Mus musculus: one gene and its partners. The protein of the gene in region 1 binds, or shares a complex with, the protein of each later gene. Links are inferred from orthologs where the notes say so. Each region holds a gene or a part of one and is shown in the gene's direction. Other genes may lie near its edges.

What was found.
Region 2: Med25 (region 1) and Med7 share a complex: the UniProt entries of both Homo sapiens proteins name them as parts of the mediator complex. The link is inferred for Mus musculus from reciprocal best matches to the Homo sapiens genes MED25 and MED7.
Region 3: Med25 (region 1) and Med20 share a complex: the UniProt entries of both Homo sapiens proteins name them as parts of the mediator complex. The link is inferred for Mus musculus from reciprocal best matches to the Homo sapiens genes MED25 and MED20.
Region 4: Med25 (region 1) and Med8 share a complex: the UniProt entries of both Homo sapiens proteins name them as parts of the mediator complex. The link is inferred for Mus musculus from reciprocal best matches to the Homo sapiens genes MED25 and MED8.
Region 5: Med25 (region 1) and Med4 share a complex: the UniProt entries of both Homo sapiens proteins name them as parts of the mediator complex. The link is inferred for Mus musculus from reciprocal best matches to the Homo sapiens genes MED25 and MED4.
Region 6: Med25 (region 1) and Med13 share a complex: the UniProt entries of both Homo sapiens proteins name them as parts of the mediator complex. The link is inferred for Mus musculus from reciprocal best matches to the Homo sapiens genes MED25 and MED13.
Region 7: Med25 (region 1) and Med18 share a complex: the UniProt entries of both Homo sapiens proteins name them as parts of the mediator complex. The link is inferred for Mus musculus from reciprocal best matches to the Homo sapiens genes MED25 and MED18.

The regions. Positions count from the first base shown.
Region 1 is NC_000073.6:44,879,199-44,883,043, reverse strand, and holds part of Med25 (mediator of RNA polymerase II transcription subunit 25), read left to right. Parts: intron 1-18; coding exon 19-76; intron 77-177; coding exon 178-285; intron 286-1,932; coding exon 1,933-2,121; intron 2,122-2,405; coding exon 2,406-2,477; intron 2,478-2,573; coding exon 2,574-2,792; intron 2,793-2,939; coding exon 2,940-3,117; intron 3,118-3,529; coding exon of another isoform or gene 3,530-3,627; exon of another isoform or gene 3,628-3,845. UniProt on the Homo sapiens protein: Component of the Mediator complex, a coactivator involved in the regulated transcription of nearly all RNA polymerase II-dependent genes.
Region 2 is NC_000077.6:46,434,880-46,439,905, forward strand, and holds the start of Med7 (mediator of RNA polymerase II transcription subunit 7), read left to right. Parts: upstream 1-2,081; 5' UTR 2,082-2,312; exon of another isoform or gene 2,313-2,433; intron 2,434-4,926; 5' UTR 4,927-5,026. UniProt on the Homo sapiens protein: Component of the Mediator complex, a coactivator involved in the regulated transcription of nearly all RNA polymerase II-dependent genes.
Region 3 is NC_000083.6:47,621,410-47,625,341, forward strand, and holds the end of Med20 (mediator of RNA polymerase II transcription subunit 20), read left to right. Parts: exon of another isoform or gene 1-1,475; coding exon 1,476-1,691; 3' UTR 1,692-2,842; downstream 2,843-3,932. UniProt on the Homo sapiens protein: Component of the Mediator complex, a coactivator involved in the regulated transcription of nearly all RNA polymerase II-dependent genes.
Region 4 is NC_000070.6:118,407,757-118,412,734, forward strand, and holds the start of Med8 (mediator of RNA polymerase II transcription subunit 8), read left to right. Parts: upstream 1-1,580; 5' UTR 1,581-1,624; coding exon 1,625-1,630; exon of another isoform or gene 1,631-1,793; intron 1,794-3,128; coding exon 3,129-3,247; intron 3,248-3,769; coding exon of another isoform or gene 3,770-3,817; intron 3,818-3,901; coding exon 3,902-4,046; intron 4,047-4,595; coding exon 4,596-4,736; intron 4,737-4,907; coding exon 4,908-4,978. Other genes in the region: KICSTOR complex protein SZT2, read right to left, coding at 1,407-1,433. UniProt on the Homo sapiens protein: Component of the Mediator complex, a coactivator involved in the regulated transcription of nearly all RNA polymerase II-dependent genes.
Region 5 is NC_000080.6:73,515,458-73,519,221, forward strand, and holds the end of Med4 (mediator of RNA polymerase II transcription subunit 4), read left to right. Parts: intron 1-1,178; coding exon 1,179-1,265; intron 1,266-1,749; coding exon 1,750-1,881; intron 1,882-2,436; coding exon 2,437-2,609; 3' UTR 2,610-3,088; downstream 3,089-3,764. UniProt on the Homo sapiens protein: Component of the Mediator complex, a coactivator involved in the regulated transcription of nearly all RNA polymerase II-dependent genes.
Region 6 is NC_000077.6:86,354,193-86,358,948, reverse strand, and holds the start of Med13 (mediator of RNA polymerase II transcription subunit 13), read left to right. Parts: upstream 1-1,352; 5' UTR 1,353-1,423; coding exon 1,424-1,489; intron 1,490-3,440; coding exon 3,441-3,675; intron 3,676-4,756. UniProt on the Homo sapiens protein: Component of the Mediator complex, a coactivator involved in the regulated transcription of nearly all RNA polymerase II-dependent genes.
Region 7 is NC_000070.6:132,457,967-132,461,424, reverse strand, and holds the end of Med18 (mediator of RNA polymerase II transcription subunit 18), read left to right. Parts: intron 1-1,311; coding exon 1,312-1,865; 3' UTR 1,866-2,696; downstream 2,697-3,458. UniProt on the Homo sapiens protein: Component of the Mediator complex, a coactivator involved in the regulated transcription of nearly all RNA polymerase II-dependent genes.

The DNA.
Region 1 (3,845 bases):
CCCTGTGCTGCCTTCCAGGAAGACTGAGCAGTGGCCCCAGAAACTGATCATGCAGCTTATCCCTCAGCAGCTGCTGGTGAGTCCTGCCCGGCCAGGCCTGCCTGGGCCTCACACCTTGTTCCTCACGTGATGCTTCCCCTCTGTGTGTTGCCCCACGTGATACCTGTATGCTTCCAGACCACCCTGGGTCCGCTGTTCCGGAACTCAAGAATGGTTCAGTTCCACTTCACCAACAAGGACCTGGAGTCCCTCAAAGGCCTCTACCGCATCATGGGCAATGGCTTTGTGAGTGCACTAACTCCTGTCCCCTTCTCTGCCAACTTGGTGAGGGCCCCGGGGACCCAGCCCCAGGAGCTGCTGATCCTCGCACCCTGTGCCTTATTGTGGCACTGCAGATAGAACCTCGTCCTTGCTTAAGTACATGTGTCCTAGGGCCCACTGAGTCCCTGAGATAAGACATACTGTGTAGCAACACCTCCACGTGGACGTCCTGCTGCCCCAGGCTCCCTTGGGTTGCCTTTGTAGGCTTGTGCAGTGGAGCCTGACTTCTCTGCCCCTCTTGTTTTCTGTTGGATAGGGCCTGCCCTTGCAACTCATCTGACCTGTTGTAGGGGCATCTCCCGAATCGTCTCAGCTTCCTGGGTGCCAGTGGGTTGAAATTAGTGTCTGGGGAGACACAGCGCCCGTGTACGTGGTTGAGGCACGGTGACTTCTTGTTTGTTTGTTTGGTTTTTGAGACAGGGTTTCTCTGTGTAGCCCTGGCTGTCCTGGAACTCACTTTGTAGACCAGGCTGGCCTTGAACTCAGAAATTCGCCTGCCTCTGCCTCCCGAGTGCTGGGATTAAAGGCATGCGCCACCACGCCCGGCCCCGGCACAGTGACTTCTGTGCCTGCTTTTTCCCAGGCAGAGTACTGTTGGTCATCAGCCTCACAGCCCTTCTCACCTGTACTCTCTTTTGTGGGTGGGGGTCAAGCACTTGGGGATCCTGCTGGGGCTGTCATCTGGCTGCTCAGCAGGTCCCAGGTCCTTGGTGGTGGGCTCATCGGTGCAGATGATGGATTCTGAGTTAATGTTTCCAGAGGGTAACAGGAACTGGTGTTCTTGTTGTAGAACAGGACCCAGCAGGGAGCCCAGTGATGCCATGCCTAGACTGTAGGTACAGAACAGAACCTGAGCTTCTGGGCAACCTTGAAGCATGTGGAAGAGGCAATGGCTGAATCTCCTTCTTCAGAAAATGAGAAATGTCCACAACTTCTGGCCAGGCCTCCTTTAATCTGGGCCAGAGTTGGGTTGCTAGGCTGCACCCCCTGTAGGGGAGGGCATTCACCAGCTCACCGGCTCCACTGGCACCACCCTGTTCTGTACTGGACAGTGTGAGCAGCAGCTGCAGGCCGAGCAAACCCAGGTCCTGAGAAGGAAACCATGGTAGCCAAAGCCAGTCCCCTGAGAGTCTGAGGGGGCACCTTGACTCCCGAAATGGCTGCCTTGTGATGTTGCTGTCCCTGGTCCATGCTCGTGGACATTGGCAGAGAGATAGAGCCACCCTTAAAGGTCTTACTCCATCTTTTCTGGCATCCTCCCCAGCAGACCCCTTTCCAGTGTGATTGGGGGAGGCCGTCCAGCGCTGTGCTGAAGTGAGACAAGGAGGTGGAGGCGCTCAGTCAGGGTCACCGTGGGTTTCTGATGTGACCTGCTGTCTTTCCTTCTTAGTGGCCAGCGGGTGCTTCGATCTTGCTGTGCCCTTTGACTACCGGGTTCACTGCTTACACTCAGTTTCTGTCTTCTGGGGCAGATGCCAAGCAGACCTGCCCACCTTGGCATTATGCAGAGAGATCTCCTTACCTCTTGCCCACAGGGCTTGTAGAGTGTTATGTGAGGAGGGATATCTGGGAGCCCCCTGGTGGGCAGGTCCTGAGAGTCTCTGTCCACAGGCGGGCTGCGTGCATTTCCCGCACACGGCCCCATGCGAGGTGCGCGTGCTTATGCTCCTGTACTCGTCTAAGAAGAAGATCTTCATGGGCCTCATCCCCTACGACCAGAGCGGCTTCGTCAATGGCATCCGCCAGGTCATCACCAACCACAAGCAGGTCCAGCAGCAGAAGCTGGAGCAACAGCGCGGGGTGAGTGTGGAGCCAGGCCAGCTGGTCACCATGGCCTCCTGTCTCCAGAGATCTTGCCTGAGTCCCATGTCCCCTGTGTCCTAGCAGAGCAGTCTTAGTCCCTTTTCAGTATCCACTTCAGATTCCTGATGCAGGACCCACCTTACAGCCAGGCAGGGTGTGGCACACCTCCTTGATGGTTTGCCCCCAGAAAACGGCAGCCTGCTTCTACACACCGGGTCTCCCCGACAGGACAGGGTCAGTCACCGTCCCTCATCTGACTTGTCCTCTCTGTCCCCGTGCAGATGGGGGCACAGCAGGCACCTCCAGTCCTGGGCCCCATTCTGGAGGAGCAAGCGAGGCCCCCGCAGAATCTAGTGAGGACTCGGGTGGGGACTGGTGGGGTTGGGGATGGAGGTGGGTGGACTTGGGGCGGCCACCCTACTGTCCTTCTTCATGCCTCTGTTCCCCAGCTACAGCTCCGTGCACCACAGCCTCAGCCTCAGGGTGCCGTGGGAGCTTCTGCGGCTACAGGGCAGCCCCAGCCCCAAGGTGCTACCCAGGCCCCCACAGGCGCACCTCAAGGTCCTCCTGGAGCAGCCCCTGGCCCACCTCCTTCTGGACCCATCCTGCGGCCCCAGAACCCTGGGGCCAACCCCCAGCTGCGGAGCCTTCTCCTTAACCCAGCACCGGTGAGACTTGGGATTAAAGAAGCAGGGAATTGCAGGTTCTGACCCAGTATCTCTGGGAGGAAGTAGTGGGCTGGACAAGGCTCCCAGGGCGGTGGACCTTCCCGGATTTTACACTAGGCCCTCTGAGTCATTCTTTGTCTTCCTTAGCCCCAGACTGGGGTGCCCCCGCCCCAGGCCTCCCTACACCACCTACAGCCTCCAGGGGCCCCTACATTGCTGCCACCACATCAGAGCATGGGGCAGCCCCAGCTGGGGCCGCAGCTCCTGCATCCTCCACCTGCCCAGTCATGGCCCACACAGCTTCCCCAGCGGGCGCCACTGCCAGGTAAGGGTGCTCCAGGGGAGGATAGGGGTCTAGAGTGGGAGTCCCTGAAGCCACTGGTAAGGACCCTATTACCAAAGGGCCTCCCGTAGCTCAAGGGGACATTGGGAAGTTCAGCTATAAGAGCAAGACCTCTTGTGGTGGGTGAAAAATTCCCACAATCCTTACCTTCTGATCCTGGGGTGCTGGAAGATATCTTAGGGTCAGTGAAGCTACACGTGTGGGGGAAGGGCTCCCGAAGGGTCAAAGGAAAGTGTCTGCATTCAGCGGGGCTTAGAAGGACTTCTGGCGTTCCATGGAGCTTCCTAGAAACCTTACTGCCTTGGGTTCCCAGAGGAAGTGGGATGAGAGGCCCAGGGTCCTCAGTGGCCCCAGGGACCACTGGGAGATGCAGTCCCTTCCCGCTGCCCCCCAGGTCAGATGCTGCTGAGCGGGGGTCCCAGGGGCCCGGTCCCCCAGCCGGGCCTGCAGCCCAGCGTCATGGAGGACGACATCCTCATGGACCTCATCTGAACCCAACACCCAATAAAGTTCCTTTTAACAATGCCCGGCTCCCGTGACTGACGCCCCGAGGGCTGTCTTTGCTCTCGCCTTGCAGACTCCCCAAGGCCCCGGCTGGGTGATGCTGGGCCCTGGGATGAGTTGGAGGCAGCATGGTGGGCCTGGTTCTGGGAGACTTGGAGCAGGTGGGCAGGAAGTGTACAGCTCATGTGCACTCAAGGGGTTAGAGC
Region 2 (5,026 bases), on another chromosome or scaffold:
AAGTACAGAGGTGAGGGGGTTCCAGGATCTGAATGAATGGTATTACCTGTGTCATATGGATGGCTTCTGACTGAGAAGTAGCTTCATAGCTCTAAGTCCTGGGGTGATCTATACCAAATATGCCAAGTACTGAGCCAGATTGGGTACAATGAGAACTGCAAGTCTCTGGTGCAGAACACAGTGGAGTCAGGGGAACACTTGATTCAGGCATGTTAAAAATGGATGGAGTTGTTTAAAAAGAACATTGATGGGGGAAACAATGCAAAGATTACAAACCAATTAAAAGACATTGGTAGTTAGAAAGGGGCAGCTCTTAATTGGAACCAGAGACCATCTGAATCCAAATATTGATATGGAAGTTGATTTTAAAAGCTACCCCTCCAAATTCTCACAGCCTAAGCTGACTTTAAACTATGTAGCCGGAATGACCTTGAGTTTCTGAATTTCAGATCCTTCTGTTTTTACCCTCCATGCACTGAGGTTACATTTGGGTCTTTAACATTCAGATCTTGCAAGTACAGTCAATAATAGACAAAACAAAGTATTCATTAAACTGTATTTTTAACCAGTCCCTAACATGACATGGCTATCCCTTATGTAGTACTGGGGTTGTCTTATATGTATTATTCTAGGCAAGCTCTCCACCCATGAACTTATCTTTGGGTGATGGCTAATCTTTAGAAGCAGAAAGACTGAGTGGCATTTTCTTGTGGCTGCCCAGATAAAAGGACATGAAGAAAGGAAACTGCTCTTTGGTTGCTTGCTCTAACACTCACTGGCAACTTCATCTGTACCACTGCTGTGCCATTCCTTTGCCAGTATTAGAACCAAACTTCTTTGGGATTCCAACATGGACTGAAGACCTGTGGCTCTCCAGGAATCTTCCAGGTCTCCAATGCCAGGTGGGGGTCTGTTGAGACATCCAGCCTCTTAGACTGAGCAACTACAGGATTCTCAGCCTTTCAGGGCTGAGACAGCCATTGCTGGACTACTTGAACTGCATCTTGTAAGTCACTCGGATAAGTCATATATACATATATATCCATGTGCATACACACATTCATTCTATCAGTGTAATAACCCCTAGTACACTTTCAGTAAGATAATAAATCTGTGGGTATAGGAAAAAACGAAGAGCCCTTACCTTTTAGAGGTTCATACCAGACTAGAGACAAAATGATGGGGCTCATATAACTATGGAAGTTGGTAGTGAGTAGACTCTTCTTTTGTTTTTATGCCTGCAATGCTCCACATATTTAAAGGAAGAAACTGAGACATTCTTGTTTGTGAAGCAGAGCTGTTTATCTTACTTTTAGTTTGCAACACTGCATCTTACGACTCCCATATCATCTGTTAACAACTCTTCTCTCTCTCCTCCCTCCCCCTCCTCCTCTCCCTCAGGGAAAGGCCAAAATGGAAATATTTCTTGCTAGTCCTGATGGCTCATTTCTATACCTCTGGCTTTCCAGAGGCTGGGAAGAGACATCTGAAGCCAGCCTGGGCTACACAGTGAAATTACCCACTCCCTCCATTTTAAAAAATTATATTAAGTTTTTTTCACTTGTCAATTTGTGGAAGGATTGTTATAGACATCTTTGAATTCCTAAATGAAAATAAAAGTGAATGGAAGGGGGAAAATGAAGGTTTAGGATGTTATTCTTAATCATGTTCACAAATATCTCCATATATATGAATATATCATAGAGTACAATCTTGCTTTTAAAAAACATTTTTGATGATTACATTAGTATAATTTTTAAATATATTGCTTATCTGTATTTTCTGACTTTTACATAAGGCAAGTATTTAATTTTAAAAGTCTCGTATAAAAGTGGGGGCTGCAAGGAATGGAATTACTAGAGAGTACTTTCTTCTACTAACAAAAAGTACGAAGAAGTATTCTCCTGACCTGACCAAGAAACCAGACAGCGGATCTTTCCCGAGAGAAGCAGGAGATGCGAAAGTGCGCATGTGCAACATCTTTAGGGCGGGAGTAGGACCTGCTATAGGACAGCCTTGGTAGCCAATGAGAGGCCCGCGTCAGAGGCTTCTTCCTGAGAAGGCAACCGGAACTTGTGCTTCCGCTGCGCTGAGGAAAAGTCACTACCGGAAAAGCAAGAAAGAGCTGAGGTGAGCGGGCGGCGGCGGTTGGCGACCGCAGCCTAAGTCTGTCTCTCCGCCCCCGCGGTTGCGTCTCTCCCGGCGTGGAGCGCCGAAGTCCGGCGCGGGACAGCCTGGGACGCCCGGGCTAGCCTTCCTCCCGGTTCCTCCGCGAAGCCTCCCCGGGGCCTGAGGCAGGCGGCCGGCCGAAGGTACACCGAGTACCGCTCTCTCCGGACGACAAGCCAGACGGGAGGTTGGGAGGTCCGAGTTCTCGTCCCCACGCCACGGGCTTTTATAATGTCGTGGTCTTAGCCTGCCCTGTCGCCATTGGTAAAGTGACAGTAGCCGCCTGGGAGCGCGGGGGCTGGGGGAGGGGAGCGAGAGCCTGGGTCGGAGCCGGATTCATCCTGTACCAGACTTTCCGCGGGGACCCAGTCACGGGGACAAAGTGAGCCAAGTGTCTGAGCTTGCGGACCCCCCCCCTCCCAAAAAAAAAAGCACCCACGAGACACTGGATCTTGTTAGTGTTAGCGAGTCACGACCTCCAGCGGCTTTGAAAAGTTCAGTTTGAACCGGTAATGGGCGGTTTCTGTAAGGTGGCCCGCTCTAACGCGGGATGCCCAAGTTACGGGGGTTTGCACTTGCGCCCGAAAAAACTAATGCGGATTCCCGTTGTACAATTCACCCCCTTCTGCACGTTGGGAATTGGCTTCTTGTCTCTATAGTCAAATTGGGAGTAGTCGTACCGTCCTGATGATTGGAGTGAGGATGCGGATCTGTCACTTACTAAAAACCTTCGGGAAACTGCGGGTTTAGTGTGGGTGTGGCTAAGGGAAGCGCAGATCCCCAACTTCAAAAGCCTTCGGGGGATGAAATTTAGGCCAGGTGTTGACTTGAAGTGGCTACAAGTAGACTTTCGTGTTCTAGGTATATACACCCTGAATTAGCTCTAACAGTTAGACAATCTGAAGAATTTGGAGTTGCTTCCCTCAGATTTAAGGTATTGGCAGTGTACATCAGTGTGAGAAAGCACTCAAGAATCTTCTCATTGTATAATGTACTTAAATTGGAAAAAGCAAAGGTTATTTTGACCATATATGTTGGGATTTAGGTTTTAAATTTATGTAGAAAAGATGTAAAAATTGCTAATGTGTTAAGAAAACTGTACTATACTAACTCTACTATACTGTAAGATGTGGCTTCCTTCAGAAACCTTGGAAAATATTTGAAATATGAAATTTAACAACGGTGTTTTGTTATAGTTGTTTGTTTGTTTGTTTTTTTGAGACAGAATTTCTCTGCGTAGCCTTGGCTGTCCTGGAACTCACTCTGTAGACCAGGCTGGCCTCGAACTCAGAAATTCACCTGCCTCTGCCTCCCAAGTGCTGGGATTAAAGGCGTGCGCCACCACTGCCCAGCAACAATGGTGATTTTTGTCAAGATGTAAAGAGAGTTTTAAGTGTTTGGGTTTGGAGACCACTGTACAGTAAAAAGGAAAGTGAACGACATGAGATTAATAGATACCATATGTAGTTTGATTATGGGAAAGAATAATAAATAAGGCATATGACATTTGCATATAAATGTTCTTTTCCAGAGTAGGTTCCAACATATGCCTACCAAAAGGAGTCAGACATGAAAAAATAGTATATCATGTACCATATAAAAGCACCCTAAATACAGACCCTTTTTCCTTAGTTCTCAGAATATGTTTGTTCTTTGAGAATTTTATACACACACACACAAACACACATGTGTTTTGATCATACCCGCTTCCACACTCCTCTAATACCTCACAGACCACTACCATATCTTACTCCCACTTTTATATATTTTAAAAATATTTACTTAGTTTTTAAAGATGGATCTTTAGCACCGGCTGGCCCAGCCTCACTGTGTAGTCCAAACTGGCCTTGAACTTAGAGCTATCGAGCTTCTCAGTCACAGGGACTACAGCATGACCCATCATGACTACAGCGGGAACCATCATGCCCAGTTTAGGTCTTTTTAAAAAAATGTTTAAAAATAACAGTAAATAAAGTCCTCTGCCAAACCTGTGGTGGACTCTGCTGCTTGTTTTTCCACTTTGTATGCTTTACATTTGTCAGATTACCTAGAATATGTGAGTCCTTAGTGCTAGCATCCTTTTCTAAACAAGCAGAGCAGATCTTACTTCACCATCACGTGAAGTCTGGCAGGCAGCAAGAGTGCTCTTTAACAGGTGAGAAAGACTTGAAGAGATCAAAAAAATAGTAGGGTTTCTAAGTGATACTGTTTTGTGTTCTCAGAATTTCCTTCATAGACAAAGTTTGCATATCTCGACTTGGGTGTATAGTTAGAGATATTAGGGCAACAAGGCTCTCACTTCTGTTATCTTCACTGCAATAAACATAACAATTCAGCATTTTTAAGTCTGATTCAGTTAAACAAACTATCTGATAAAAACCTGCAGTCGTGGGTGAATACAGTTAAGAGTCAGGACACAGCAGGCCGTAGGACCAGAGCAGTATTGTGAAGAAGTCATGGTACCTGGGAGTCAGTGACTAAGTAGTTTAAACGGTGATTCTGCAGTAAAAATGACCTTGCCATTGTCCACTGTGAGTTACAGAACCTGTCTTTACACTTGAATGTTAGAATCATAATTGTGGTGCTATCACAAAGTAGACAAAGGGCAAACCTTTTGGAAGGCAGAGTCTTTGGTGTGCAACTTTCTGTACCTTCCTTGCTCTATCCCATTAGCCTAACAAGGAAGTTTTTTTGTTTTTTGTTCTCCCCCCCACCGTCAGATCTTCATAAAGCTTTGCTTTATTTTCTCTTTGCCAGGATCATCTGTCCCTATCGGGTGAGTTAGCACACCTGTTGTCTTGGGTGGTCAACACGTTCTCAATTTTCAAGGTGTATTTCCTATCAGGAAACTTGAAGA
Region 3 (3,932 bases), on another chromosome or scaffold:
TGGGTCTTAGAGCGGGAGTCACAGTGGGCAGTTCAGTGGCTCCTAGAAGCTTCACAAGTTGGGGAACAACTCCTTTCTTCACAACCATCTCAATGCGCTGCTTTGGACCATCAGTCAGGGAGGAAATGGCCCAGCAGGAATCTGCTAGTACTTCTGGGTCATGGTGGTGCAGGAGTTGAACTAAAGTAGGAAGAATCTGCTCAATGGCGTCTAAGGGAGGCGCAGGGTTCTTGTTTCGATAGAGGTTTGAAAGCCTCCAGGTAAGATTAAGTGACCACATGCCAAGGATGACAGATCGGGAACTGCAAGAAGTGCCAACAGTGGGTCAATCGCACCGTGTTTGATAACTAAGTCTCAGAAAGCTGACCCATCACCTGCAATGTTTCCAAGAGCCCATACAGCTGCTCGCTGATGTGAGCATGGGGAGATGCCAAGAGAGAAAGAAACGCTGGGATAGCACCTCCATCCACCACAGCTTTGGTCTGTTCAGATGTTCCAGAAGCAATGTTGGTGAGTGTCCAAGCAGACTCAAACTGAATGGGACTACAATCAGTTTTGCCCAAGAAGGACACAAGTTTTGGGATCAAACCAGCCCGGATGATGTTGTCTATAGGAGGCTGTTTCTCTCTAGAAAGCAATTTCCAGGCAGCTTGAGTAGCTTAGAGCTGGCTTTCCAAATTGTTACTGTTTATGCCTTTAACAGTGTCCTCACAGACCAATTTACAGTCCCCTGGTTGTTCGGGTTTTCCTGGTGCAGAGAAGGAAAGGAGCTGATGTTTCTCCTTTTCAGCATCTGCTCATCGTTTTTAGCTTTCCTGAGTTCCACATTAACTTCTACTCGGCGGCGACGCATTTCTGTACTGTCCTTCCCCTGTTCTTGAATCTGTTAAGTCGGGCAGCTGGTAAGTTAGCATTCTTGTTCCTGGACATGACTGCAGGAACAAGGAGGAAAGCTCTACAGATGGCTCAGACTTCCACGAAAGGCGGTGCGGGGCACTCAAGCTGCGTGTTGGCGGCTGTGGCAATGTCTGCTACCCTTCAGCCCTCAGACTTTGTGCTGAAACACAAACTTTTGAAGTGAGTTTAGAAAGGCATTAGGCTTAGGAAATCAGGCTGTTGAGAGTCTTGCTGACTGTAATGGGAACCTGTAGAGCAATAAGGAGTCCAAGGCGGGAAGTGCTGGTGCATGCTTACTGTCTCAGCACCTCAGAGATGGAGGCCAGAGGATTGTGAGGTTTAGGCTGGCTTGAGCTGCACTGTTAGATCCTGTCACAAAGTAAAAGCCATAGGAAGGAGCCTGGGAAGCATCGCAGGTAGGGAAAAGGACCCTAGTGCCAGTTTCTTTTCTGCTTGGAGGCTCCCAAGCCAACACTGTAATGGTTTCACCTTGTGACTGAAGGATCGCAGCAGCAGCAGGAGGGAGGAAAGCAAGCTTGTCCTTGTCCTTACCCTGGCTATCTGTTCTCTTGTCCCAGGTGGAGTATGGCCCTTGTGTGGTGGCTAGTGACTGCTGGAGCCTCCTGCTTGAGTTCCTACAGAGTTTTCTAGGGAGCCACGCACCAGGGGCACCCACAGTATTTGGGAACAGACACGATGCGGTCTATGGGCCAGCAGATACCATGATACAGTACATGGAACTCTTCAACAAGATCCGAAAACAGCAGCAAGTGCCAGTGGCTGGGATCCGTTAGTGACTGGCAGCTGCCCACCTGCTGAGTTGTCACCAGGGTAATGCCCAGGCCCACGTGCTGGACTCGGTCCTGGGCCCCTGGCCCAGCTGGTTCCCAGCTGTAGCTTGTGTTCCGGGGCTTTGGACTTCCCTCCTGAGCCCATCACAGCTGGTTTTTACTTCATGCTTTAACTGGATTTGGCTGGTCCTCAAGAATGGTAACTGTGGAGAATGGAAAAGCTGTAGGGCAAAAGGTAGGACAGGGTTGTCGCTGTTGGCACTGGAGCTGTGTGTGTCCCAGGTGCTGAGGGTTTGTTATCGGCTGGACGCCTGTGCTGTATGGGGCTCCCCTTCGCTTGAGGATGCGGCTGGCCTCTCCTGGAGATGGTTAGGTGGCAGGACTGGATTGTTGGCTGCTAGAGTGTCGCTTTCATTCTTTGGACACTGATGTCTTCTCATACTGTTTTAAATTCTGTGACCCTGTAGGCCAGGCCGCTGTAGCAGAACCAAAAGCAGAGGACTCTTACTGCACAGTTTATTTTTCATTAATAGTTCACAGGCATTCAGTTCCCAGGGCAACATGAACTCCACAGCGTTACCAGGAACTTGGCTTCCTATGTCTTACTGTTCCTTATATCATACTGTCCCAAAATGCTTTCCTTCCTACAGGATGCTCAGTAGCTCTGCACCCACAGTCCACTGAGGAGAGCGAGATTGAGAGGGATGGTTTTCAGAGTTGCTCAAAGCACTGTGGACACATGTTCCTGACACTCAACACTCAGGTTTTTCAGGGTGCCTCCTAGGTTGTCTTATCTTGCTTGAGCCTTGAATTCACTGACACTATTACTTACCTGCCTCACCTACTACAGAGACATTTAACACAAAGACAGGCTCGGGAAAGCTGTTAATCTACAAAGTGTAGGCTGTCAGTTAGGATCCTGTCCTCAGAGCACAGCTAGGCAGACTTGCCAGCGCATCTGGGTAGTGGCTCTGAGGTACTGGTCATTCTTGTCTCCTAGCTTTAGCTGGCAGGACAGCTCATCACGCCTTCCTGCTGTGGCTCAGTTATCCGGTTGCTCCTGTTGCTTCCTCTTGCTTTGGTTGTTAGTCATTTACTGTTGTTCCGTAAACCTGAGGTGTTTTACATATCGTAATAAAGTTTTACCAGCATTAGCGTTTTGGCCTTCTGGTCTGTATTTGGTCTTGTTGCAGTCTGTCTACTCTGCTTTGTACTGGCTGCCTGAAAACGCAGACGTTAATTTAATTAAGTGGTAAATGTGGACTCTCAGCTCCTCTCAGCTTCTAAAGATGAAGAGAAGCATAAACAATCTAGCATCCTGTTAGCTGTAGTTGCCTTCTTTGCATTCCCAGCAATTGATTTTTTTGGGAAGGGAGGGTTGGGTTTTCGAAACAGGGTTTCTCTGTATGGCTGTCCTGGAACTCACTTTGTAGACCAGGCTGGCCTCGAGCTCAGAAATCCGCCTGCCTCTGCCTCCCAAGTGCTGGGATTAAAGGCGTGCACCACCACACCCGGCAGCAATCTTGATTTAAAAAAAAAAAAAAAAGATTTTGTTTTAAGCGTGTGTGTGTGTGTGTGTGTGTGTGTGTGTGTGTGTGTGTGTGTGTGTGTGTGTGTGTTGGGGGTAGGGCAGGGGTGTGTGCTTGAGTGTGCGGTACCCATAGAGGCCAGAAGAGGGCATCAGCTCCTCTGGATATTGTGTCATAGGTATATTTGGGTGCTGGGAATGGAGTCAGGTCCTCTGAAAGAGCAGCAAGCATTTTTTTTTTTTCTTTTTTCTTTTCGAGACAGGGTTTCTCTGTATAGCCCTGGCTGTCCTGGAACTCACTTTGTAGATCAGGCTGGCCTTGAACTCAGAAATCTGCTTGCCCCTGCCTCCGGAGTGCTGGGATTAAAGGCTTGCGCAGCCACGCCCGGCTAGCAGCAAGCATTCTTAACCACTGACACTGAGCTGTCCCTTCAGTCCCTTCGTTCTTGTTCTTTTCCATTTGAGCTCACAGTTGACTGGCTTTAAACATGAGATCAAACTTGAAGAATGGCCACTTGAGTACTCTGTCTTGTCCTTGTCAATGAATGGAAATGCAGCACTGAAAGAAACTTGCTAAGCAGAACACCTAATAATGGAACAGGTGATGGCTTTGCCAGCAGAGGCACCAGAACTCAACTGTGACTAGTGAGAAGGACAGCATGTCCTCTGGCTTTCACGCGCAAGTCTGTGTGGGGCTTCTTAGAACACTGTAGGAC
Region 4 (4,978 bases), on another chromosome or scaffold:
AATACTGGCTCTGCATGTTTCTCCATTCCTGAACAGGGAAAGCAAGAATGACAATTTCCTGAGGATTCTACCTGTGTTAGATACTTAGAGAACTTAAACTTCCTGGATCCCACCCATTTGTGGAAGGAGGTTAAATGCCCCACTAAATGTGACACTTCACTTACGCCTCTGCAACACCTATTATAATCCAATGTTCATTTAGTCCCCACAGCTAAGGAGTCTCTGTTTTACCCTCTGCATCCACCCTAACCCTCAGCACAATTCTGGTTGCAGAACAGCACTTGCTTCTTCCTCTCTTTTGGGAGCCTAGCCTCTCTAAACATCACCCTTTCTTCTTGGTATTCTGTTTCTACCCTATTCACTCATAGGGTTTTCATGTGTGTAGTTTATCACATCCTCCCCATACACGGGTGTGTGTACTCATACATTATACATATATAAGATCACACCCGTGTCAGAGTGCACGTGTGCAGGTCAGAGGACAACTTGTAGCTGTAGAGCGAGCTCACCTACCTGGGAGTTCTAGCCCCAATACTAGCTGCACAACTATGCTTCTTTTAATAGTGGCACCTCAGTTTCCTGAAAAGAGGGATGATAATGGTGTTTGCCTTATAGGGTTGAAAGAACTGGTAACAGTAAAGAGCTCAGAATTGTGGCTGGCATACAGTAAGAATTCGACAAGTAGCCATTGCTATTTGTATCGTTACGCACATGCATCAACCTTCCCTCCTACAAGGCTATCCCTCTGGGGTCCTGGACACGCTAGCCAAATTTGGTACCTCCTCGGATCCGCTCGTTCAGTTGGAAGGAGTAGTCCTAAGGTATCTTTGCATGGCATGACACCTCACCTGCTCTGACTTCAGTTGTCTGCTCTGTACATGACAATAAATACTGCCAGATTCCCTGCTGGAGTCTGAATGTCAAAACATACATATAGGGTTCTTTGCATCTAGGGGGTGGGGGGTGGGGTGGGGGGGCGGGTGCCTCGTCTGCCTTTTCTGCCTTAACTTGTGATCCCCAAGCCACATCACAGAACAAATACTTTTATAAAGAAGGAAGCAGGGTCTGTCCTAAGTTAAGACTGGCCAGAGGGTTGTAGGGCTTTGCCAAGAGCACGAACGCTAGAGCGAAATCAACTCATGCTATTGATTGCATTCCAATAGATGAGATACAAAAAACCCCGCAAAGTCGGTCAGCTTCGGCGTGGCACAATGAAAATCCCAACTAATAACCAAAACACGAGTTTTTATCAGCATCACTATCGCTAACAAGTCTGTGGATGGGCGACGAAGATCAGGATGGCATCTGAGTAAACAAAACAGCAACGGCCTCCTTGAGGCTCCGGAGGGTGAAGGCTGCCACACGCCCGCCCTCGGGCCTCGGCCCCGCGCCCGCCCATCCCTCACCTCTGGCTCGGGGCGCTCCGAGGCCATCACACAGCCCTCCCGCGCCGGCCCGGGCCAGGGAGGTTGCTCCACTCCTGACCTCTGACCCGGCTAGTTCTGTACCGGGCAGGAACCGGAAGTTGTTGGGATGGTCCCGTTTTGAGTTTTCTGATTGGTGAGCGCAGCAAGCCGTGCGAGAAACCGGAAAGGGAAGTGGTTGCGCCCGCCGGGCCGCGGCAATGCAGGTGAGAAGCGGGTTGGGCCTTATAGCCGCTGGCGGGAGGGTGATTGGGCTGAGGACACCGGGGAGTTGGGGCTGTGAGCGGAGGGCAGAGGAAAGGCAGCGGAGCCAGAGAGAGCGAGGCCAGCTGCGGGAGGCGCGGGCATCGAGCCCGCTGATGTGAGAAGGTCGGAGGCCCGGGGAGGAAAGGCGGACTTGATTGAGCGTGGAAAAGGATCGTGGTGGCATTTGGGAAGGCTCGGGAAAGTAGTGGGCTGCCGCACGCCTCGATCTAGGCTGTTGGACACAGGCGTCATAAGGCTTCAGAAGGCTAAAGGGATCGTGGGCCTCCAAGGATGAAAACTAAGCTGTTTGTAATTCGAGGCTGTGGGTGGAACCCGGTGTCCAACCCCCTCAGTCACATAGTCAGGTTTGCAAATCAGCTTTGCATCATTCTTCCCGGCTTGTACCTCGTTGCTAAGGGCGGAGAAGTGGGGTAAATAGTCCTCAGATAGTCAAACGGAAACCCTCTGCCGCCTCAGCGTTTAAAATTGTCTAACACTCAGAAACAATGTGCAGGTTTCCTCGCCTTTGTCTTTCATTACTCTTTCATTACTCACTTGGCTTGTTGCATCTGATAAACCTACACTGTTTATGGGTCACCCGAATTATGAAAGAGACACGGGAATATTGGCACAAAGATGCACGTTGACTTTCCAAAGCACCAAATGCTATGGATAAACGGCCAGTTGGGGGACCGGGAAGGGGATTGCAGAGCTGGTATTCAGAGAAAACCTTACAGAGAGGCAACGTGTGAGATTGTCCAGATTGTGTGGTTGACAGTAGCTACACTCACAAGAGGATGACCAGAGGCACCCATGATATAATGAACTTCGGGAATTATTTAGGCTGTGTGTGCAGATAGCACCCCTGTTATCATGGCAAACCTTTCTGAGGTGAACTGAACTTCCTGAAAAAAACAAAACAAAACTGTGTCAATGCCAACACCACAGAGTGACACGAGGGATTCTCATCCACCCAAGGAAAGCAGCGCAGTGACAATAAGCAGTCGTGAGGTAGGCAGGCCACATCTATTTTCCAGAAGAGGAACTGACAAAGAAGAGTGTGCAGAAACCTGAGCACGTTCCTATTAACCCTACTGCAAATCTAAGAGAATGTTGTCTACTGGGAGAGGCAGTGTTTGAGAGCTGGGAGGAGGAGAGCATGGAATTAAAAAGGTGCAAGGCTAAGTGAGTTCGAAGCCAGTTTTGTTACAAAGACAAATCATGAGGTTTCAAGCCAAAGAGAATTAGGTCTGGTGCAATGACCTTCTTGAAGGACCACAGTGTAGGAGGGTTATAGAGGAATCAGTTAGTAGGAGGACTTCAGGCCAGGTGAACAGGTTGAAAGGTCTAAGGGTTGATGCTATCTGTAACCCAAATACCAAGATAGAAAACAATTTAGCTTTTCTGAATGTGTCACGCTCACTTGTATCTGAGTAACCAAACACACTGTTGATGCAGAGGGAGGAGAAGCAGCTTGAGGCATCATTAGATGCCCTGCTGAATCAAGTGGCCGATCTGAAGAATTCACTGGGGAGTTTCATTTACAAGTTGGAAAACGAGTATGACCGGCTGACCTGGTAAGGATTGCCAGGACAAGCTGGGGAGGGATCCATGGGTGGTGGGGCCAAGCCCCCTGGCTGACAGGACATCTCCAGCGATGTACCCATTTATCAACTTGCAAATATCCTTTTTGATTTGGAAAGAACTAGGTTGCCCAACATTGACAAGTTTAGTTTGGCTTAAAGCCTCCATGGCAAGGAAGTAGAAAAATGTCCAGTTTCCCAACCTAGGCTGTTTCTAGGTTTTAATTCTTACGCTTTGGCTTCCTTAGTGAGGAGGCATTTCCTCAGTGGAAGACCATTATAGCTCCATTTATGGTGGCTCTCCTTCCACACATGAGGCTGGATCTGAGATCCAGCCTTCTGGAATGATAGAGTCTGTTACTACATTAGGGAGGAGGCTTTACAGACTTACTACAGTGTAACCACAGCCCCTGTTTCCACTGCTCCCAAACCCAGTCAAACAGTGGGTTGCCTTTTTTCTGTATCTATGTCAAAAATTGAAAGTGTGTTCCTCTTTCCCAATTCCATCTCTACTAGCAAATCTGGTTCTTGCCTATGCCAGACACAGGGCTGCGAGTCTTCGGGGTGAGTCTGAGTGTTGCAGCATTAGGACTTTTAGAGGTTACTTTGTAGGGAGAAGTAACTCTGGTGACTTCTCGCCACCTCCAGGCCCTCTGTCCTGGACAGCTTTGCATTGCTTTCTGGACAGTTGAACACTCTGAACAAGGTCTTAAAGCATGAGAAGACGCCACTGTTCCGAAACCAGGTCATCATCCCTCTGGTGCTGTCCCCAGACCGAGACGAAGACCTCATGGTAAGACACACAGTATCTTGTTGACTGGATCCTCTGTGTGGCCATGAAAGGTGAGGGCTGCCGTCTGGAAGACTTGTTTTTATCCTTCTGGGGTCAGGAGAGTCCCCCTTAAAGAATGAAGTGAAAATCAGGGCCTATCTCACCAAGTCCACGACCTTCCTTTTCCAACATCTATGTCAGGCAAAAAGAAAAAAGTCTGTCCTGCTTGCCTGTGACTTTGCTGCAGTCTTTAAAATGTGGGGTTGAGAATTTAGCTCAGTGGTAGAACAGACACAAAGTCCTGGGTCCCCAGAATAGGGGTGGAGGTAGAGATTCACAAAAGACCAAAACAAAACAGCAAAAAAAGACAATTTCAGTGTGGTAGTGGAGGGTGGGATTTAGCTCACCCTAGTTCTGATGGAGTGAGTGAGTGAAAAGAGAGTGTCACAGAAAGCTATCCCTACCTCCGGTTGTGTTGTCTCTGGAAATGCGTTTTCTGATGGAAGGGAAGTGGGGTTAGAACTGGCCTACTTGGATAGCACAATAGGATGAATCCAATCTATATTACAGCGTCAAACTGAAGGACGAGTGCCTGTTTTCAGCCATGAGGTCGTTCCTGACCACTTGAGAACCAAGCCTGACCCTGAAGTTGAAGAGCAGGAGAAGCAGCTGACAACAGATGCTGCCAGAATTGGTGCTGATGCAGCTCAGGTTGGACTGAGTCACTGGCCTGCTACCTCATCCTCATCCTTCATAAGCAAGACTTTACCAAGGCTGTGTAGGGGTGTGGGGTTGCTCACAGCTAGGCTGCCTGTGGAAGAGCACAACGAAGATGCTTCCCTGAATCATTGCTAATCACTAATCAATTCATGTGTGTTACAGAAGCAGATCCAGAGCTTGAATAAAATGTGCTCAAACCTTTTAGAGAAAATCAGCAAAGAAGAACGAGAATC
Region 5 (3,764 bases), on another chromosome or scaffold:
CTAGAACCGCATAAGCTGTGTACGTGCCCACACTCACATGCTTTCACACACACATGCACACATTCTCATATCAATGCACATGAAAATAAAATATTTAGTTGATAAAACTAAAAACTACTCCAGTCGGGCTGTTGGGAGGATGCTCAGTAGTTACTCAGTGTAGCGTGTGATGTGTTCTTGCATCCTGAAGAGGGTACACGTAGCTCACAACCCTCCGTTAGTTTATAACCAATGAGAGAAGCGGATGGGGCTTTATCTCAGGTGTATAGTGAGGACACTGGTTTACAGAAGTGTTGAGAAAGAAGGAGAAGCAAAATTGAAGTTGGATCTTGAATGCTAGGAGGAAACAATGTTGGGAACCACACAGCTAAACTGAGAAGGAAACACTAGAGTCAGAGACCATCAGCTAGTACACTGTGCCTGCCTGCCTGCCTGCCTGCCTGCCTCCTGCCCACTTAAAAGCCTTACATGGTCTAGTTGGTCTTTATACCAAGAGTGAAATTACAGCTGTTTCACTTTAATACTTTGTGCATTTGGTTTACATTTAGCCATTTCTCCATCTCTGATTTGTTCTCTGCTTGCCAGTATGGAGTCTATTTTCTGATTGTTACATTCAGGAAAACAGCTCATATTCTCTGAGAGACGGGTGGGCTTCTGTAGCAGAAGCAAGTCTCTAGGAGAGGAGGCTGAGTCCATTGCTCAGGGGTGGTTAGAACTCCTTAGTGCTTTTTGAAACAGGTCTAAAATTTATAGAATGGAAAGCTATGACTGTCTGGCGCACAATCTGCTAGAGCCTCTTCCTTGGGAGTCACACAGAGGCTGCAGACTGTAGGGTCAGCAGCTTGGATGCTGCTGGAATGAAAAGCGCTCCCCTTGGTTTACTGTCCCTCACTGTGGCATTCAGAAGACTCTGCACTTGATGGCGGCTAGTAATCGAGATGACTGAGCATTATCACGCTGGCCTTAAATTTACGTTAGCCGACTTTGCTGGGTGGGTATCTTGGTTCCAAGGTTCAGAAATGTATTTATAACAGTTTTTGTGTATGTGCAGGTGTTTGGGAGATGGACAGCTTAGATGATCCTATTTCCTGATAGTTTGAAATTAAATATGGTGTGTGTATGTATGCTCTTCTAAACTTGTGTTTAATGATCTGAACTGTTCTATTTTCTCAACTCAGGTGCTATCTCCTCTGAAGAAATCATTAAATATGCGCACAGGATTAGTGCAAGCAATGCTGTCTGTGCTCCACTGACTTGGGTTCCAGGTAACAGAGCTTCTTACATCAGATGAATGCAGGTTTGAAAGGACTGAGGTATCTAAATAAGATCATTTAACGTAGAATGTACTCATCTAGAGTAACATCTGCTAACAAAGGCATTTTCTTCAGTGTTGGAAGGAATGTCAGGTGTTACCCTCTTCTACCCTTCTACCCTTACTGTGTAGCCCTGGCTGTCCGGGGACTCATTTTGTAGACCAGGCTGGCCTGGGAAGAGAAGTCAGAGTTCTGCCTCACTCTGCCTTAAAGGTACGTGCCACCGTGCCCAGCTTAAGGATTTCCACTGTAGCTTCAGGCAGTGTGTGGCAGTATATACTGCAAAGGCAGGTACTGAAGAGGCCGAGGCAGGACTGCAGGCTTGAGGCTCACAAAGCACTTGCGTCTTTTAGTGTGAACTAAGGGCAGCTCATTCTTCAAGAACATATAAATGCTTTTTGAAAGCCTGAGTTAAAAGCTGTCTTTACTGTTTTAGGAGACCCTCGGAGGCCATACCCAACCGATTTAGAGATGAGAAGTGGATTGTTGGGTCAGATGAACAATCCTTCCACCAGTGGTGTGAATGGTCACCTCCCGGGAGATGCCCTTGCAGCAGGTAGACTGCCAGGTAATGCCAACTGGATGGGTGTTTTTAAGCAGACAGAGGTGCCCGTGAGGCACTGTCTGGTAGTGGACATCAAGATCTGTTACACAGGTTCCCTGCCAGTTTGTCATCCAAAGACCCTGCAGTGATGCACAGGACACTGACCTAAGCCCCTATGTCCCTCATGTGCATCTATTTCCTGGCACCCTCCCCAGGCCTGGCCTTCCCCTGTCGTGACCACTCTGAAGAGCATTTTTGCAGTTGAGAGGCATGCCCCCAAATAGAATAAGCACATTTTGTAGGTGCTGTGTTTTAATGTGGAAGAACCTTCCTAAGGAGAGGACATAGTGGGGACTGTGCTTTCTGAAGCCCATTGTAGCCATGGGCCACACTGTGTTAAAGTGTGGATTTGGGAATCTGCTTATTTGTGTTTAGCATTGCGAATCCCTAACCTTGTTAGATCCTTGGTACTACAAGGTAGGTGGGTGGGTAGATAGAATTAAGGTACTTGCATAGAGGGAGGGGATTTGAGTAGGCTGATCACAAGTAGGACTAATCCCATGTGCCTCTTTTCTCCAGATGTCCTTGCTCCGCAGTACCCATGGCAGTCAAATGACATGTCTGTGAACATGCTGCCACCAAATCACAGCAGTGACTTTCTGTTGGAGCCTCCTGGGCACAACAAAGAAAATGAAGATGATGTTGAGGTTATGTCAACAGACTCTTCGAGCAGCAGTAGCGACTCTGACTGAGAAAGGTGTGGCATGCACAGACTCCAGTGCGGCAGAGTTCTGTCAAGGGGGAAAGAAAAGCACAGACCTAAGGAGCCCATGAAAATCAGCGGGTTTTCTTCCTAGAGCCCGAGCCCCTGGTTTTCTATCTGTTACACAATGTTTGAGGATTAGTCAGAATTACTGTAGTGTTTGGTTGTACATAGCAGCCCTGGCATGAGACTGAAGAGGAACTCACACAACTCATGGAGCATACTTAGAAAGAGCACTGAGCCAGACGTGGTGGCTCACACCTATAGTCCCAGCACCTGGGAGGCTGAGGGATTGCTGTGAGTGTCGGGCCGCCTTGAGCTACAGAATGAGCTGAGCCACCAGGGTAACAGAGATAAGAACAGGCATCGGAGCGCTGTGTGATACTTCAGAAGTGCTCACTTGAACAACTCAATATATATATGTGGTAAATACTGTAATTTGTGTAAATAAACTTGGTTTTGTTTGTATTTAATTTTTTTCAATTTTTTAAAAAATATTTTTAAAATTTAGGTACACCTTCAGTGTAGGAAGGAAACATTTAAATCCAGTTGAATTTGAGCTGGGCAGTGGTGGCACATGCCTTTAATCCAGCACTCAGGAGGCAGAGGTAGGTAGGCAGATCTGAGTTTGGGGCCAACTTTGTCTACAAAGCAAGTTCTAGGAGTACAGAGAAACCCTGTCTGGGGAAAAAAAATCCAGATGTATTTTATAATAAAATAAGATTCTGGTATATATGATACAGTATATACAATAAAATGACTATCTTAACTCATAGTCACAATTAAGTCTCTGAGATCATTAAGTTGAAACTGAAAACATTTATTACAACCCCATACTACACAGACACATACACACAGGATAAGGAAAGTTAGAATAGATGGCCATCTCATGCCATCACCTTGTCTCCTTGTGACTTTTCTCATCTTTTACAGGACTGGGTCTCCCTGCTTGTATAAGGTACCTAGGTTAGTCTGGGACTTGCAGCCACCTGCCTTGGCCTCTTACTGTAGTTTCTCAAAAAACAGTCACTTTTAACTCTTTAGCTACCTCGTAGTTAACATCTGTGTCCACGATGTTTATATAAGTATCAGTTTTAGATAGTTATATAATAACTATCACAGAACATTTAAGAAACAGCATAAA
Region 6 (4,756 bases), on another chromosome or scaffold:
TGTATTCATGCATCATATAACAAACATAACATTTGTTTTCCTCATTTTACAGATGAGGAAACTGAGTCACAAAGAGGTAAAAGACTGGCTCCAGCTTCGAATCCTGAACAGCAGGACTTTATTTCTAGTTCATTAACCACAAGACCATATCGTTTCATTTTTTTTACCTCTTTATTATAACTTAAAAAGAGAGGGCGAGGCTGGTGTCTATCCAGCTCTCATTCTTTAGCCCTAGAGTTCTGCGATGTACCCCGGCGGCCTTATGGAGTGAATGAGAATGCATTGGAACGTCTTTCTTTTTCTTTTCTTTTTTCTTTTTCTCTCTCTCTCTCTCTTTTTTTTTTTTTTTTGCCAACTTTCTCTTCCAAAGAATTTGAACTGATTTCCAAGTAATTCTCGATTTTGAAGTGAACCTTCCTGCGCTGCTGCACTTTCCCCAGCCAGCAGAAAGCTAGGGCCAAGACTCGGGTCATCTTAACCGGGGCATCCAGCAGATGGCGCCATGTTAGTAGCCACCAGCTGGCCGCCCGGTCCCCGGGGCTCCGAAAGCTTCCCTGCCCTCCCTCACCGCCTTCTCTCTCCCCCCTCCCTACGGAGCCCGGCCCACGTGACCTCGCGGCGGCCAATGGGCGAGCAGAGAGGGCGAGCTGGTCCCTGTGGCCGCCATTAAAGCGAAGGGAAAACCCGTGAATTCGGATTAAAGGGGGAAAAACACCGCCCGCTGGGCCCACAAAATGGGGGAGACTACGGCGTCCAGGCGGTGAGGCGGCAGGAGAGCAGACGTTAGGCAGGCTTGGCCCAGGGACAACACGAGGACACAGCCGGAGAATGGACTGAGCCCACAGACGCCGCCACCACCTCCGCCGCTGAGGAGACTCTGGGCTTAAGGACATCGCCGCTGCCGGGCCGGGGGCCCGGGGTGCTCTGCCGGTCCTCGCCCTTCCCGCCCCTCCGCGGGCGTCCCCGGGCCGCGGAGAACCCTCCCGGGCTTCTGGGCTCGGCCCGCTCGGACTCGGGCTCTGACTATTTATCGTGTACCTGATTGTTATTATTATTTTTTTGTTTTTCGTTTTTTTTTCTCTTTTCTTCTTTTAAATCTTTTTTTATTTTTCTGGTGGAAGGGACAGACATCCCTTCCCCTCCTCTCCGGAGAGGGACGCGCGTCCGCGGGCTCCGCAGTCCCGGCGGCCGGCCGAGCGCGGCGCGGCCCTCCCGCCTGCGGCCTCGGCCCCGGGCGGCTGGGTGCCTCCGGGCGGCGGGGGCCGCGGCGGCGCCGGGGGGCGGCGGGGAGGGCGGGCGGCCCGGCGGCCTCCTCCCCACCGCCCCCCGCCCTCCCCGGTGTCTGTGTTTCTCTCTCTGGTCGGAGGCGGCGGTAATGGCGGATGGTGGGTTGTGGCGCCGGCGGCGGCTGCTGTGAGGGACGATGAGTTCCTCCTTCGTGTCGAACGGGGCCAGCCTGGAAGATTGTCACTGTAACCTCTTCTGCCTGGTGAGTGCGGGGGCCGCGGGCGGTGGGGGAGGGGGCCGCGCCGTGCGCCCTTGGGCCGTGGGGGAGGGGGTCTGGGTCGCATCCAGATGCCGGTGTCCCCCGGCTAGGCCCCGCCGGAGTCGGCCTCCTCCGAGGCTCTGCGGCCGCCCCGGGAGGCAGCGTCCGCTCACCTACCGACCGGGGCTCTGCTGGGAAGAGGCTTGTCTTTCCCCCCACCCCCTCGGTCTTTCTCCTCCTCCTGTCTTGTTTTGGACTCTTTTCCCCATCCTAGTCTTTTCCTTAACTTGGGCTGCTTATCTGCCCGGATAGTAATATTTTCTTGTGTGCTTCTTGCTTCCCCGCCTCCCCGCCCCCCGCCCCTTGTATCGAACAGTGTATCCCTTTTCCACACTTTCCACGATTGCCCCTGCTCGACTGCCTTTAAGCTCGCTTTTCCCTTGTAAGTGGGCTTCTCTTAAACAGGACCCCCCCAAAAACTTACGTATTAAAACCCTCTTCGTTTTGTAAGTTAAACTAATACAGGGGTAGTGTCCTTATGGGTGACTTCAGATCTTTGTGTAAAAACAGTGTGTGCCGGTTCATATGTTTTCTTTTTAAACTTTGAAAACATTTTGCCATTTTGACAATTTCTAGCCATCTTGCTTTTATTAGAACATTATGTTTTTGTGAGAGTGGAGGGGCAAGTGGAGGAGGTACTGTGGTTTCGCACTAAACGTTCTATATTTGTCTGTTTTGCTTACGTTTTAAGAATGTTTTGAGCTGGCTGTTCCTTTTATTGAACTGAAAAGTCTGGGGCAGCTGGAATTAGGGATGTTCTAGTACGTGTATGTAGGTCGGCCCAAATCGGATAACACTCAAGAGTTAAGACTTTTGTCAAAAGTACCAACTGTTGCAAATATCTAGTCCTGAATTAAACGATAGCCGAGCTTCCTGAATGACTAAGTTAGAGTGACTTTTTTCATTTTTCGTGTGCTCTGAGAAATATTAAGTCTATCATAGGTAAGTGAATTAAGTGGGTGGAGCATAACTAGTTGGCAAGCATAAACTGCCAGTCATGTATCAGCAGTTTCATTTTTGGCACCTTATGCTTTCTGTCACTAAGTTAGAATAAGGAATTACTGAATTTCCTTTGTTGAATCTCTTTCACGATGTGGTAAATGGGGATCTTCAGCACACTTACGTCTTACAGATTAGACTGGTTTTCTTGACATGTCCATTAATCAGCATCTCGTCACATGTAGTAAGATGTACAGCAGGTTTAACGTTTCTGTCTTCCCCAACTGGATCTATTTTTGGCACTTTGGGTTTTTTTTTTTTTTTTTTTTTTTGAAGCTAGATTAGCACAAATCTGACAGCTCTTTGGAAGTGGTTCTTTCCTTGGAGCTGTGTGCTTGTGGAGAATTAACAGGCTTTTTTTTTTTTTCCTTAAGAAAAAAAAAATTCAGATGGTTTTCGTATTAGAGCCATGACTTCTTACAAACCTGGAATGAGAGTCTTTACTTTCCAGTTCACCAAGGATCAAATGTGACTGACAGAGAGGACTGTAGGACAGAGGAGGAGGCTAGACTTACTGTGCAGGCTTAGCATCATTGTCTCATTGGTCAGCTCTGGATATGTTGCATTTATTGTAGACTTGCTACTCAGTGACATCTTTGATAATTTATGTAACAGTTTTGTGTTCTTTTCCTTAAGCTCTTGTTGGTTGAAACATTAGAATTCTTTGCTGTGGTGTTTTTGGTTTGTTTGGTTGTTTATTTTGGTCATATCTTTAGGTACTTAAGCATGCATTAAAAATAGTGATGTTTTAATGAAATCAAGGACTTTATAGTGAATATATATTTTATATATAAATATATAAATAGTATACTTATATTATTATACTTAATAACAAATATTTATTACTTAGAGTGAATGAACAATAATATAGATATTTTGCTTTCTTTTCCTTCAGGCCGACTTGACAGGAATTAAGTGGAAAAGATATGTATGGCAAGGCCCAACTTCCGCCCCTATTCTGTTTCCGGTGACAGAAGAAGACCCCATTTTGAGCAGTTTTAGTCGATGCCTTAAGGCAGATGTACTTGGTGTTTGGCGGCGAGATCAAAGACCTGGAAGAAGAGAATTGTGGATATTTTGGTGGGGTAAAGATCCCAATTTTGCTGACCTTATTCACCATGACTTATCAGGTGAAAGCACTTTATCCTTTTTAACTGTGCCTTAGCAATGTTGTACACTTTCCCAATGTGCTTCTGCTGTGGTGGACGGCCTTGTCAGCCTGGATCTGTAAGAGGGTTGCCATGCTCTGTTTCACCATCTTTGTTTTGGTTTCCTTAAGTTACCTGTGTAGATTCCAGGAGACTTGAACTCTGACTGAGTTTCTTCCTCTACCTCCCGGCTTCTTTCTGTAATTTCTCACAGGCAGTTTGTATCTAGGGAAAGCATTTTCATTAACCTGAGAAAAATGGAATCTGGAAGCATGTTATTTTTACAGTTATATAATAGTCTTGAAGCCAAGTGTAACTCACCTTTGAGTCTAGTTTGCTGTGTTCTTTTTTGTCTGACCCCGTGGGCAGGCCTAGAAATGTAACTTTGTTTGGCATAGATTTTCAAAAGTATAGTTGTATTTTAATATTATTTATGATTATGTATTAACTCGGGGAGGCATATGCTGTTTTTGGGGGGTGGGGGGTGGGAGGGTCTTTAGACCCTGCTTCGTCAAAGGGTATATTAGTAAGGACAAGGGCCATCTCATTAACTTTTAAAGGACAAAGGTCATTATCTGAAAGGTTGTACAGAAACGGTTTATTATGAGCACATCAATATTTCTTTTTTTTTTATTTTCTTGACTTTTAGGGCCAAATATACTTTAGAAAGAAACTATAGCCCTTTATGAAAATTACTGGTTATGTTTATTTTAAACTCAGTGTAAGTGTATCTTTGACTAGATACTCTCGGAGGGAACCAAGTTCTAGTTTGATAAGAGTTTTGACAGCTAAATTGAAAATTTTTAAGGTCTTTAAAATTTTCTGTGTGAGCAGGGAGTGTAGGTGTGGGTGTAGATATGTGTGCCACCATGTTGTGTAGAGGTCAGAGGACAACGTTTTTGGAGTCCTGCTTCTTCCATCTTGGTGAGACAGGGTTTTACTGATTGTTTTGCCCTTAGGAAGCTTATTTCGGGCCACCTGGCCCTCTTTGTTTCTGACTGCTCCTATCTCTGCTCCCCTTCTTGGTGTAGGGGTGCTGGAATTACAGATGCACCACATCTAG
Region 7 (3,458 bases), on another chromosome or scaffold:
TATATTTATTTTTGGAGCTTCAGTTTTTTTAATTGTTTTTTTTTTTTTTTAAGATTTTTTTGTTTTGTTTTTGTTTTTGTTTTTCGGTTTTTCGAGACAGGGTTTCTCTGTGCAGTCCTGGCTGTCCTGAAACTCACTCTGTAAACCAGGCTGGCCTCTAACTCCAACTCGGAAATCCACCTGCCTCTGTCTCCCAAGTGCTGGGATTAAAGGCATGCACCACCCCTGCCCAGCTTTTTTTAAGATTTTAAAATACCATTTTTAGTTCTCTGTGCATGTGTTTCAGGGGATGGTACATGCATGCGAGGCAGGAGGTGCTGGGATCCTTGGAGTTGGAGTTACAGGTTGTGAGCCACTTGATGTGGATGGGATTGAACTCTGGCCTCTGCAAGAGCAGTACAAACTCTTTACCTCTGAGTGGTTTTCCCAGCCCCAGTCTTGCAGCGACTCTATTGCCTCAGACTCCTGAGTGCCTGCATGCCTGGCTCAGTTAAATAACTGTTTAATCTTATTTAATCTTTGTTGTTGTTTAATTTTATTATTTTATAGTGCTAGGAATTGAACCCCGAGCCTTCTGTGTCAGTCCTCAGCCGTTAAGCTCCATCCCTCAGCCTTGGTCCTCTTGGTGCCTTGATCAAACCCCAGCAAGGCCTTGCATCTGGAGCACATGGTCTCTCACAGATCTACACCCAGCCACAATGATTTATTTATAGCCAATGCAATTTTTCCATTTGTAGAACAAATTCAGATTTTCTTTTTCATATAATTATACTTCAGAACAAGAAGCCGGGCATGGTGATAACACCCCTTTCATCCCATTAAGGCAGGCAGGTGCTGGAGCAGTAGCTGAGAGCTACAGCCTGAGCCACTGACAGAAAGATGGGGGCCCGCTTTTGAAAACTCCCACTGACACACCTCCTCCAACAAGGACGTTCCTCCTAGTCCTTCCCTAAACAATAGGAAGTAGAGACTAGACATTCAAATCCAGGAGCTGTGGGGGCTACTGTCATGCAAACCACTACCCGGCATTTGCTGCTAAGTCAGACAACCTGGGTTCAATCTGGGACCCACAGGGAATCCGTTCTAGCGGGTTATCCTCCAACCAACATTTATGTGCCATTGTATTCTCGAGTTTGCCGAGACAAGAATGACTAAATATAAAACGTTTTGAATAGACAAATAAATAGAATCCCATGGATTGTTCTTAGAAAACGTTGCATAGAACTATTTATTTGGTGTGTGTATCTTTCGCTGGTTTCATGACCCTAAATGAAATGAAAGCCGGGACTCACTGTGCTTGTGCCTCTTCAGGAAGTGTTTTGGACCACAGTTTGGAAAGCCTCATCCATCGCCTCCGAGGTTTGTGTGACAACATGGAGCCTGAGACCTTCCTTGATCACGAGATGGTCTTCCTGCTTAAGGGCCAGCAGGCCAGCCCGTTCGTCCTAAGGGCCCGGCGCTCCATGGACAGGGCAGGGGCACCCTGGCATCTGCGATACCTGGGACAGCCCGAAATGGGAGACAAGAACCGCCACGCCCTGGTGCGCAACTGTGTGGACATCGCCACGTCTGAGAACCTCACGGACTTCCTGATGGAGATGGGCTTCCGCATGGACCATGAGTTTGTCGCCAAAGGACACCTGTTTCGGAAGGGCATCATGAAGGTTGTGGTGTACAAGATTTTCCGAATCCTGGTCCCAGGGAACACGGACAGCACCGAGGCCCTGTCCCTCTCCTATCTTGTGGAATTAAGTGTTGTCGCCCCGGCTGGGCAGGACATGGTCTCTGATGACATGAGGAACTTTGCAGAGCAGCTCAAACCTCTGGTTCACCTGGAAAAAATAGACCCCAAAAGGCTGATGTGATGAAGAAAGTTTGTCGGCCTTTTAGGCCTGTCCCCACCTGGGAGGTGAGAGACTTCGAAAGTAGCCCAGGTACTGCTGCCAGCCGGGCCCACTTCCTTCCAGAAGATGATGGCGAGACCTGGTTCCTTTCAACTGTTTCCTTCACTTGGTAATGTCTCTTTTTTCTTGCAACAGGGTTTTACCATGGAATTCACTACATAAACTAGCTACCCTGGAACTCAGGACCCTGTACTTCCCGCCTAAGTGCCTGCAAGGTCCTTATTAAACCTGACTGTTCATCTTCTTGATAGGCTTTTCCAATGAAAGACCCAGGATAATATGGAGATTTGTTCAAGTCCTCCCTCCACTCAAAAAGAGGGAACTGGAATAAATTAGCTTTTCAGAGGAAAGGTCAAAAAACAACTCATAATATTTTGCTTTTTTTTTCTTTTTTCTCTTCTTTTCTTTTCTTTTTTGTTTTTTTTTTTTGTTTTTTGTTTGTTTGTTTGTTTGTTTGTTTGTTTTGTTTTTCAATACAAGACAGGGTTTCTCTGTGTTGCTTTGGCTGCCCTGGAACTCACTTTGTAGACCAGGCTGGCCTCAAACTCAGAAATCCACCTGCCTCTGCCTCCCGAGTACTGGAATTAAAGGCGTGCGATAACACGCAAGCCCGGCTGTTTGTTTTTTTTTTTTTGTTTTTTTTTTGTTTTTTTTAGAGAAACATTTTTTATTCCTTTATTTATTTGTTGTTTTCTTCATATGTTTTAAATTGTGTTGTTTTGCCATTGATATACAAGGTTTACAATGGTGGTGTGAGCCAGCATTGTGTGGTAATAAAGACTGAAAAGACTCAGTTGTGATTCTGATTCTTACTCGTCTTAACTCCTTCCTAGTCTACTTCTATATTGCTATAGTTCTGTCTTACTATTGTTGTTATTGTGTATGCTGTGGGGGCCTCTCCAGGACCCACATGGGAGAAAGAAAGAACCGACTCCTGCCTGTTGCCGTCCTGTTTCTCCACAGGATTGGTTGAGTCCTGCACCCACATGTGTGCACACCCACACACAAATGTAATCAAAAACATTCAAGTAGCTGGTGATGGAGAGGTGGCTTAGCTGCTAAAGAGCACTGGCTGCTCCTGCAGAGAGGACCAGGCTTAATTCCAACACATCCTTGAGTGCTGACAACCTTCCGTAGGAGTCCAGTTCTAGGTGATTGGATGCTCTCTTTTGAAGTACACAGGCACCAGGCACACACTCAGTACACAGACATGTTCAGGCAAGAAAAGGGCCATGTGCTGGTGGTGCATGCCATTAACATTAGTCCTGGCACTCAGGAGGCAGAGGCAGGCAGACCTGTGGTCTACAGTGCAAGTTCCAAGACAGCCAAGGCTACACAGAGAAGAAAGACAAAAGGCTCATAGTCTTAGATTTGAAAAGTCAGATACTTTTTCTCCTTCTCCTTCTCTTTTTCTTTTTCTTTTTTTTTCTTTTTCTGCCAGGAAAACTTTCAGTCCACTTTCTTTTTTATAGGAGTCTTACCCAGGATCCTACCAACAGCCTTAGTGAAATTTACTGTTGGCTCATCTACCTTCTGTTTTAGATTACAGTTATT